3 linked regions of the Callithrix jacchus genome follow. The protein of the gene in region 2 interacts with the protein of the main gene of each other region in a biochemical or structural test. Links are inferred from orthologs where the notes say so. Each region holds a gene or a part of one and is shown on either strand. Other genes may lie near its edges. The genes, in order: PEX7, PEX5 and AGXT.

Region 1 (3,650 bases), on a different chromosome or scaffold from region 2:
GAAGGACCCTATCTCTAAACAAATTTTTTTTTTTTGATACAGAGTCTGGCTCTGTCACCCAGGCTGGAGTATAGTGGCATGATGTTGGCTCACTTCAGTCTCTGTCTCCTGGGTTCAAAGTGATTCTCTTTCCTCAGCCTCCTAAGTAACTGGGATTACATACAGGTGCCTGCCACCATACCTGGCTAATTTTTTAGTTTTTAGTAGAGACAGGGTTTTGCCATTTTGGCCAGGCTGGTCTCGAACTCCTGACCTCAGGTGATCTGCCTGCCTTGGCCTCCGAAAGTGCTGGTATTACATGCATGAGCCACTGGGCCTGGCCTAAAATTTTTTTTTTTTTTAATTGGCTGTGCCCCAATGGTCTACCTCTGTAGTCCCAGCTACTTGGGAGGCTGAAGTGGGAGGATTGCTTGAGTCCAGTTCAAGGCTACAATGAGCTCTCATTGGGCCCCTACACTCCAGCCTGGGTGACAGAGCAAGACTCCTTCTCTTAAATAAAAAACAAAACAAAACAAATCTGAAGCCTATCTCTTAGTGTCCACTCATAAATTATAAAACTTATAACAAATGTGGAGTAGTATACTTTGCAACATTACATTTTTGGATTATGACATTCCTATGGACTTTTTTTTTTAGCCTTTCTGAATCTGTTGCCATATTTATCAAGTACCTGCTCTATTTAATTCCCATAGTTGTGAAGATTACATGAGATATATCTATTGAAATATGTGATGAATTTTAAGGAAAAAAGCCATAATTGTAATTATTATTTTTTGTGTGTGTAGCTGCCTGTATAAGTGTTGTTTGTTTGTTTGTTTGCTTTTTCCTGGTATAGCTTTGACTGGAGTGATGGTTTGTTCGATGTGACCTGGAGTGAGAACAATGAACATGTCCTCGTCACCTGCAGTGGCGATGGCTCGCTACAGCTCTGGGACACAGCCAGAGCTGCGGGGCCACTGCAGGTCTATAAGGAACACACTCAGGAGGTAGGTGGGGAATCTTTCTGGGCTGATTATTTTTCTTTCTTCGACTTTGGTTGAAATCCATTTGGGGATGCACACATGGAGAAATGTCTCCCAGGGACAAGTTTAAACTTTAGTATTTCTTAGACACACTAGATGTCACTTATTATTTGATTATTCAAACATAAAGTACCTCTTGGCGTAAGGAGCTGAGAAAGAAAAGAAAAGGTCAGTCTTCTCATTAGGCAGAAAAAAACGCCTCCAGCAGTGTGCTCTGGGTTCATTTCCTCCCGAGAGGCCCATCACTTTCTTTGTGCTCTAAGAATGTGCTTGCCACAGGGTGCTTTAAGATAGAGGTAGGTGGACTTTTCACAGAGACATCACAAGATTGCCTTTGGGGCTTCAGTGAGATTCTTGAGGAGTTTCAGAATATATTGGAGCAAGAGCATAAAATACTGAGTATGAGGCAGAACTTTGATCATTTATATCTACATCTGGTTCATGTGTCTAGATTTTGTGTGTGTGTGTGTGTGTGTGTGTGTATGTATAGCATAGAAAATAGTTTCAGTTGTACTAACATACATATATATTTTCAGTGAAGATAGTAATGAAGACATCCTCTTTTTTGTGTTTTTACCTTAAATGTTTTAAGATTTTCCTTAAGGTGGCAGTACGTCCTTCAAATGAAAACTTGCTAATTTACTTTCAAATTTTTGTCCACCACAGTGCCTGGTCCAAGAAGGCCCTCAATAAATGCTTATTAGATGCAAGAATATCAGTCTTTTGTGGTAAAAGATTAGTTATGTGAGGGATCCAGATGTTTTATAGCTGTAGGTATTGACAATCAAGATTTCTAAAATTGTTATTGAAATATTGACATTTCAGTTTCTATTTTTATTTTTATTTTATTTATTTTTATTTTTGAGATTGAGTCTCACTCTTTCGCCCAGGTTGGAGTGCAGTGGCGCAATCTCAGCTCACTACAGCTTCTACCTCCCGGGTTCAAGCAATTCTTCTGGCTTAGCCTCCCAAGTTGCTGGGACTACAGGCAAGCACCACCAACACCTGGCTATTTTTTAAATTTTTTTGAGATGGAGTCTTGCTCTGTCACTCAGGCTGTATTTTTAGTAGAGACAGGGTTTTACTATATTGACCAGGGTGGTCTCAAACTTCTGACCTCATGATCCACCCGCCTTGGCCTCCCAAAGTGCTGGGATTAGAGGTGTGAGCCACCGTGCCCAGCCAGTTTGTAATTTGATTGTGATAGCTATTTGAATAAATGTAGTTGTGAATCACCATGTTTTCAGGGAATTACTGACTATTAAGACAATTTTGATAAAGGAGAAATTTTAGTTTCAGGATGATCCATGCACGAATCTTTACAGAGTAGTATGTCCAAAATTCAGATACTTTTGTGGAACCTGGGTGAATTTTTTTGTTTTGTTTTGTTTTATTTTAGTCGGGGTCTCGCTCTGTTGCTCAGGCTGGAGTGCAGTGGTGCGATCTTGGTTCCCTGCAACCTCCACCTCCTTTTCATTGTATTTGCAGGTGGTGGAAAGAGGACGAGAGAGGTTTTGGAAATCCCTTTTATAAGAGCACTAATCTCATTCATGAGGGCTCTAAATTCATGACTCCCAGGCTCAAGCCGTTCTCATGTCTTAGCCACCTGAGTAGCTGGAATTACAGATATGTGCCACCATGCCCTGCTAATTTTTGTATTTTCAGTAGAGATGGGGTTTCACCATGTTGGTCAGGCTGGTCTTGAACTCCTGGGCTCAAGTGATCCCGCCTGTGTTTTTGTGTGTGTGTGTGTGTGGTTTTTTTTTTTTTTTGGAGAGATGAAGTTTCGCTGTGTTGCCCAGGCTAGTTTTTGTGATTTTTGATATCTTTTTATATCACTTATATTATAATTAATTTAATGTTTTTCTTTTTCTTCTTTCTTTTTTAAAAAAATATTTTCTTCTCAGAAGTTTTTTTCCTTTTTCTTAAGTCTTTGGTGCCTTTTATGACTTATGTGTATAAATTCAAGGATGGTAACTAACATCATAAAATAATATAGCTAATTAAGTTAAATTCAATATATTGACTTAATGTTTTTCTTTCAATCAACTAAAGTTGTTGCTTCATTTATCCTAAAACAGTAATATTCATGAAACAATGGGGTTGATGGTTACTTTAGTATGTACATTTATTTGTTTTTAATGTACATTAAAATCAATTAGTAATGAATAAAATAAATGTATGTACCAGTTAAAATAATCTCTTGTGCAACTACTCTCTGGGAAATACTGTTCTAGGATGTCCTAGATGGCTGGTCACTCAGTCTTTACTTCATCTCAGTGAAAGTGAATTTCACTTTATCTTGATATTACTTATTTGACTTTTAAATTGTTCTCATGATTAAGAAATTCTTGTAAGCCCAGATCTACCTTCTCTAGCAACCAATTGTTGCTCTTAGTGCCTTTCTTTGAAATGGTAAGACTAAGTCCAGCCCTCTTGTCCAGGAAACCTCTTGAAAATAGCCATCGTGCCTCTTCCAGACTGCACTTGCCATTTCATGTCCTGTCCTCAGATGGCATGATCTCTACATCTTTTATCCTCCTGGTAACCTCCTTTGATAATCCTGTTTTTCAATGTTCCTTTCAATGTAGTATACCTAATTTATTCCAGAAATGTGATGAAGGGCTA
Region 2 (3,291 bases):
ACAAAATTAGCCAGGCATGGTGGCACATGCCTGTAATCCCAACTACCTGGGAGGCTAAGGCAGGAGAATCACTTGAACCCAAGAGGTGGAGGTTGCAGTGGGCCGAGATTGCGCCATTGCACTCCAGCCTAGGCAACAAGAGCAAAACTCCATCTCAAGAAAAAAAAGATTTTTTTTCTCTTTCTAATGTGGCCATAGACATCTATCTCCAAGTATAAATATCTGTGCATATTTTAAAATGTTTCCTCAGGACTAATACCCATCTTGATATGGCACTTGATACAGTTCCTGACAAAAGCAGGCAGAGCCAGATAAAAACCTTTAGAAACCCTAAGCATCAAAAAACTATCAAAATCCTTCCATGTAAGTCTTAATACAAAACAACCTAACAATTATATGGCACTGCACGCTTTCCTTTGTAGTAGTAACAGGAGTAAAAATTCATGATTATCAGAAATCTGTTTCTCCTGCTAGCCCAGAAGCTCCCCAAGCACAGGGACCCTGTCCCCTGTGCTCTATCATTCCTAGAGGGATGAGCGGGTCACCAATGCACCAACGAGAATTTGAAAGACAAAAACTGTTGAATCAGACTCCTCCAAACACGAACGCACCTCCTGCCACCCCAACTTCATGACCAGCAGCAGAACTCATACCCACATCAGTTCCATTTATTCTTTGTACAAATATTTTACAGTTTTATTTTTAAATCATTTACACATATTCATACAAAGAAAAATAAATTTCAGAATGGAATCTTGGGACCATGGTAGTTTAAAAAAAAAGTCTCTGATCATTAGCTACTGAAGACAAGGCAAGAGGCTTAGCAGTCATTATCTCCCCAAGCAGGGGACAATTGAGAAGAATCCAAGCTGCTCCCTCATCTTCCTTTAATCTTTACCTTCCGGAGACAAGATGGGGGAAAGGGATTTTCCAATGCTCTTCCCTAGAAACATTTCAAGAAGTATAGCAAAGGCTTATGGTAACACTGAACCTACTTGCTAGAAATCTGCAAGATTGCAATTTCTGAACCAACTTTCTAGAAGAGTTAACTCAATTCCCATTCACAGGTGCTTCTAAGAGGACGAGGGTTTGCTGCATTCACCACACCCCCTTCTCACTTGCTCTGTCCTCCCAATGCTCCAGAACAGAGCCTAGATATCATCTAATCTAGCGCCTCCCTGCTCCCACCCAGCCTCCTTTCACAAGTGAACCTTCCTCCAACCCCACACAGCCAGACACTCTGTAGCAACTGGCCCTGGCAGCTCCTGAGGACCACTGTGATGATGACACAGGATTACTGCATCAGCATCGTGCTCACAGGGAATCAGAGCTCAGCCAGGAGAGGTCCAAGAATAACAGAACTATGAACACTCCTACCAAAAATCAGCTCTGCTCAGCCAAATCAACAATTCAACCAAACAGAAAACTCCTAGCACGTCCCACCCCAGACCATCATCATTAGATGCGCACAGCAAATGAACCTCCTACTTACACTGCCCAAGGGAGCTGGACTATTATCAATTCCCAGTAAAAGGGAGGGAAAGGTGAGACATTACAAATGTGGTAGACCCTATCAGAAACAGCAGCTGATGACAAGTTACCCTAAATCATTGGGTCCTACCCAAAACTCAGCACCAAGAAAAGGCATGATGAGCAGAGAGATCTGTAGCTGGATGTACAGCCCTTGAATTACCAAGGGACTCAGAGATAATGCAGCTCATTTTCCCACAATTATGTAGGAACTAGAACACAGACTACCCACCCCTACGTTGAGGCAGTTCCTGAAAGGCCGTACCGCTTATGGTCATCAGCCCACCCCCTTGGTAGGCCCATTTGGGGAGAAGGAATCACATCCAGAGCAGGGACCCTTCCAGTGGACACTCACAGGGCAGCCCATCCCACTGTCACTGGGGCAGGCCAAACATAGTTAGGAGAGTGGGCAGATCCCGGGCATCAGCTGCACCATAGGCATCGCTCTGGCCTAACATAGACAATGCCAAACGCAGGGTGCTCCAGATGTTCTCCGACATGGCGCCTCCTTCACCCCGAGGGCCCCGGCTTTTCCTCTGCATGTTCAGGGCCTCCAGAAAGTGCTCCACAGCCTCCCTATAAGGAAGAAGAGGAATGAGAGCTGGTACTGAAGAACAATGGAAGGAAGCAGGTCAGCTAGCAGCAGGAGAGAGAGAAAGCTGGGCTGGTTAGCCACAGGATCTGAGAATGAGGAGCTAGGGCCACAGGCAAGGAGAAAATGTTCATTCATTCATTGCTCAGTAGATACTCTCACCGGTGAGCGCCAAGGTTGATGCAGCTGATGCCCAGGTTATAGCGGGACCGGATATAGCCAGGCTGAAGCTCGAGGGCCCGGCGGTATGCAGCTACTGCTTCTTCACTCTGGTTTCCATTGGCCAAGGTGGCCCCTAGCTTATTCCACAGCAAATAGTCCTGAGATAGGGATGCAGAAGGGATAGGAACAGCTCAACTCAGATCAAATTCTGCCCATTACTCTCACTGCTTCACTACTCTGTTTAGCTAACATGTTTCATCCCATTCCATTCTTAACAGTTCACTGTGAGTTGCTACAATGTAATCCCTCTCACCCTATCCAGATGACCCTAGACTCCCACCCTTGTTTTCTCAATCCTCCCAAAGCAGTCAGTACATGGAACACTGGAACGAAATACCCCATGACTCCAAAAGTCTGAACAAATTATTCTCTTTTGTGGCAGGGGGCAGGGTCTTGCTATGTTGCCCAGACTGGATTTGAACTCCCGGGCTCAAGTGATCCTCCTACTTCAGCATCCCAAGTAGCTGGGACTACAGGCATGCACCATGACACACCCAGCTTCCCAATAAATGATTCTTCAATGAGGTACAGAATCATGTCCCATTTCCATTCCTCCCCTAGGCTCACATTGGGACGAACACTGAGGGCAGCTGTGAAGCAGTCCACGGCCTTGTCATACTCCCCACTCAGGTTGAAAAGGACTCCCAAGCCACACTGCACATCAGGGTCAATGGAGGTAGGGTCCAGTCGCACAGCTGCCAGGAAGAGCTCTTTCACTTCAAGAAACAGGGAGCTGGATGCAAAGGAAAAGAAACACAAAAAAAGTAGGTAGATAAATGTCTATGTTTCCATTCCTCCAAAATTAATTCCTTCACTAGTCAATCATATCCACAAGATTCATCAAGCTATCAGTCATCCCTTCTACTCTCAAAGTTCAATGTAAGAACCTGTTTTTCTGTTTCATCCTGGTACTGAACTGTAGAATGCAGACCTCCTTCAGATTGATC
Region 3 (3,650 bases), on a different chromosome or scaffold from region 2:
CATTCCTGATGCCTTGTCCTTGTGTGTAGCATAAGGGGCCTTGGGTTTATGGCCAAGGTCGTCTTTTGAGAGGGAGTAAACTGAGGCCTGGGAGTGGGGAGATATGGCAGGGTCAGGTCAACAGTGCCCGAGGGTGCGCTGGGACTTCTGGGGAGAACAGTGTTTTCGGAAGGGTCTGGGGGCCACACACCTGCCCAGAGCCTTGGGCCGGGGAATGGGGGAACCTTGGGTGGGGTATTTGGTAGCCTGGTGCAGGTGAATTCTGGGGCTCTAGTTGGGGTTCATGGGGCAGGAAGGTGGGGGGCTTGGAGAATCCCCGAGTGCAGAGAGAGGTCGGCCCCCACCTCTCAGCCACGCCCAGCACCCCGCCTTCCCGTCCCCACTGGGCCTCACATCCTGGGCTGGCCGTCACAGCCCCAGAGGTTGGCCAGGTACTTGACGTCCAGGTAGAAAGAGGACGGCTTTGTCTTGCGGGAGTAGATCTTGTTCCTGGGGAGGAAGGAGCCGCCTGAGCCCCGGCCTCTCAGTTTGGGGTGAAGGCCAGGCGGTCTTGTCAGCCGTCCTGTTTCACAGGAGTGAGACGTGGCAGGGCTCCCAGGAGGGCCTGCCCAGCTGCATTTGTGCTCAGGGGCCAGTGTGGGACCAGGCTGGCCGCGGGACCCTCAGCTGTCCAGTCCTGCTGGCCCTCGGGCCCAGCCTGCACCTCTGCCCACATGGGTGTGACCCCGCCAGGGGGCACCTGAGGCTCCCTCTACTCTGTGCACCCCTTTCTCTCCCCCAGCCCCTCCCACGGGGTCAGCCTTCATTTCCCTCATCACCCAAAGGTGACTGCTCTCAGGCCCCCAGGCCAGGCTTGGAACTTGAAATGTGTCTGTCTCTACAACTCCAGGTCGACCAGCCAGCCTGGGCCTCTCCTCAGGCTCCTGAACACACCCAGCTGCCCCCTTGGCCCTCCCTGTGGTCCAGCGGGCACCTCGGACCTCCCCTTCCAACACCGAATTCCTGACATCACCCCAAAGTCCTCTCTGTTCTGGGGACCGGCACCTCCTGTTGCCAGGCTGCAGCTGGATGAGAACTGCCTTCGAGGCCTGGCCCCCTTCCCCCACCCCCTGCCCGGCCTGGCTCAGCATCTGGACACTAGCATGGGAGGTGAGATGAGGATGGCAGGGGACACTGTGTGTGGCCCATGTGTCCCTTGGGGCAACCCCTGAAAACTGAGCCAGGGTGGAGGCTGTGTGGGGCGCTGGGCCACAGGCCCCCAGTCCTTTCCGGACCACTCCTTAGTGTGAAGCTGGGAACTGCCGGAGTGCCAGACTCTGCACCCTGCACCACCCCTGGTCCTCCCCTCATCCGGCCTCCCCACTCCCCGTGAATGCAGAGCCTGTGGCCTCCCAGAACTGGGGAGCCCTTCCTGCCTGGTTCCAGCCCCTCCCGCCTCGGGCCCCCTGAGCTCCCTGCAAGCGCAGCCCTGCATGGGGTGAGGGGCTGTGGGTCACTCACTTGGCAGTGTCACTGAAGGAGAGTAACGAGGTCCCTGGAGGTGCGTTCAGAACCTTCTGGGAACCCGAGTACAAGATGTCAATGCCTGTAGGAGGGAGGTTCGCTCGGGACAGGGACCCTGTCCCATGGCAGGCCAGTCCAGCAGGGTGCCGGCCTCGCTAACAGGCGGGAGGGCTACGACCCCACCAAGAATCCGTGCACGATGGTGGGGAGACGCAGAAGGGAGTCCTGGGTTCCAATCTCAACACTGCTGAAGGGCAGCCATGACCTCGGCCCTGAGCCTTTCAGCGCCGCTTCTCCCTCCACTGTGCTCGTCCCCAGGGACAGCCCTGCCTCCCCCGCACTGCACCCCTGGGCTCCTCCCCAGGTCCCTGCTTTCAGTAGTAGTGTGAGGGTCAGCCCAGAAATCCCTTCCTCCCTGCCTGAAAACTCCCAAATCAGGAGGAGCTCTGTGGAAACAGACAGGCTCTGTGGAGTGGGCCGGGGCAGCTCGGTGGTGTGGGGTGCAGGCTCTCCCCAGAGAGCGGCTGGGCACGGGAGGCCCCTCGGTCCCTCGGCCAGCCTGGCTGAGGTTCCCTGCAAGGTGACCCTGACAGAGGTGCTCACTGCTTTGGACAGCCTGGCAGGGTTTGGGGTGGATGAGAAACGGAGCCTCTGGGGGTTGGGCAGAGGGGTCTCCTAGGCCTGATTGGCTGGAGCCCTGCCCCTTGCTCTTCCCACCGCCCCCACTACAGCTCTGGGGCCTCTCAAATGTCCCCCACCAGAAGCTGCCCCTCCCGCCAGCCCCCATGCCTGGATCTGACAGCTAAGTGGAAACATGGTGGTGCCAGGCAGTTTCTGGAGCCGTTCTTGCCCCAGTAAGCAGCGAGTGTCCCCCAGGCCAGGTGGAGATGGGGCGGAATCCTCACTCCAGCCAGGCTTCCTGCATGTGGAGCCTGAGGCGGCTCAAGCAGGGTAGGCCCCCGGGGCACAGCCTTACCTTGCTGGTCCATGTACAGAGGAGCCCCGCCCAGGGATGCCACCGAGTCCACCAGGAGCAGGCACTTGTACCTAGAGGGGTGGGGACAAAACAGAGGGCCCAGGTGAAGCGGGGGGCCTCTGGAGGGCTCGGGCCCCAGCCTGGATGGGGTTTCTGGAGGTAGCTCCAGAGCCTTAGGCTGGCAAGGAAGGGGCTGCCTCCCGCCGCCACCCAGGAGTTGGCAGCTGCCTTCTCCTGCCTTTGTCAGGGTCCACTGGGACCTGCGGCTCTTCCTCTCCCACCCTGAGCATCGGTGCAGAGGGAGCTGGGGATCAAGGGAGCGTCATGGCCCTTGAAGGCCCCAGCTGCAGGGCCCCGTACTGCTGCTGAAGAGGTCAGCTGGGCAGTCTGGGGTCCCCAGGCATGGCAGGCAGCTGAGGGCCTGTGTGGACCCCAGGATCCGGGGTGGCACTAGGCTGGGCCACTCTCTGCCGACAGCTGCTGGCCAGAGCCAGGGCCGGGCGGGGCCAGCAGCACTCTCGCCCTCCTCCACCTACATGTTTTCTTGTCAAGAAAAAAAAGACACAGAAAGTATCTCACGCTGGCTGCAGCTGGGGAGCCTTGGGTGTCGCTGCACCCGCCCCGGGTTGTTTGCGAGCTTTATTCACGGACACGGCCAGGCCACCAGCTGTCCGGACTGGGACCTGGCCGTGGAGTTCCTCTCCTCTGTCCTGTGCTCAGCCCTGCAACGGAACTGCTGGGTACCAAGGGGCTCTGTACCCATTTCCCAGGTTATCCCATCTGACTCCATTCAAGGCCCAGCCCTGTGCACTCCCGTGTGGGGTAGGGAGGCTAGGGGAGGGAAATGGAGGGCTTCGGGCAGCTTTAGTGCCCTGGCAATCTTGGGGCAGGCCCTGGCAGGATATGGAAGTCTGCAACAAGCCCTCTCCAGCCATGGGGACAGAGGTCAGTGGGCACTGTGAGGGTGCCCGGTCGGAGAGCACCAGAGCCTGCCCCTGGACCTGGGCTCATTTTTAGACTCAGCCCAGAGCAAAGAGGACCTGGGAGGTGCCTGCACCCAACACTGTGCGACAGAGGCTGGGGTGGGGACCCGGGCAGAGGGACCAGTGCCCACCCCTCCCCACAGCCTGGCTCTGAGCTGGGCTCCAGCCCACCTCGCCGGAGCCAGACT

The links.
Region 1: the proteins of PEX5 (region 2) and PEX7 form a complex in vitro, tested with the Homo sapiens proteins (3 studies listed by BioGRID). The link is inferred for Callithrix jacchus from reciprocal best matches to the Homo sapiens genes PEX5 and PEX7.
Region 3: the proteins of PEX5 (region 2) and AGXT are reported together in a solved structure, tested with the Homo sapiens proteins (2 studies listed by BioGRID and IntAct, with this or other methods). The link is inferred for Callithrix jacchus from reciprocal best matches to the Homo sapiens genes PEX5 and AGXT.

The regions. Positions count from the first base shown.
Region 1 is NC_133505.1:143,635,832-143,639,481, forward strand, and holds part of PEX7 (peroxisomal biogenesis factor 7), read left to right. Parts: intron 1-835; coding exon 836-986; intron 987-3,650. UniProt on the Homo sapiens protein: Receptor required for the peroxisomal import of proteins containing a C-terminal PTS2-type peroxisomal targeting signal. Specifically binds to cargo proteins containing a PTS2 peroxisomal targeting signal in the cytosol.
Region 2 is NC_133510.1:21,501,690-21,504,980, reverse strand, and holds the end of PEX5 (peroxisomal biogenesis factor 5), read right to left. Parts: intron 3,078-3,291; coding exon 2,912-3,077; intron 2,443-2,911; coding exon 2,285-2,442; intron 2,107-2,284; coding exon 1,905-2,106; 3' UTR 651-1,904; downstream 1-650.
Region 3 is NC_133507.1:162,140,702-162,144,351, reverse strand, and holds part of AGXT (alanine--glyoxylate aminotransferase), read right to left. Parts: intron 2,551-3,650; coding exon 2,480-2,550; intron 1,586-2,479; coding exon 1,501-1,585; intron 490-1,500; coding exon 394-489; intron 1-393. UniProt on the Homo sapiens protein: Peroxisomal aminotransferase that catalyzes the transamination of glyoxylate to glycine and contributes to the glyoxylate detoxification.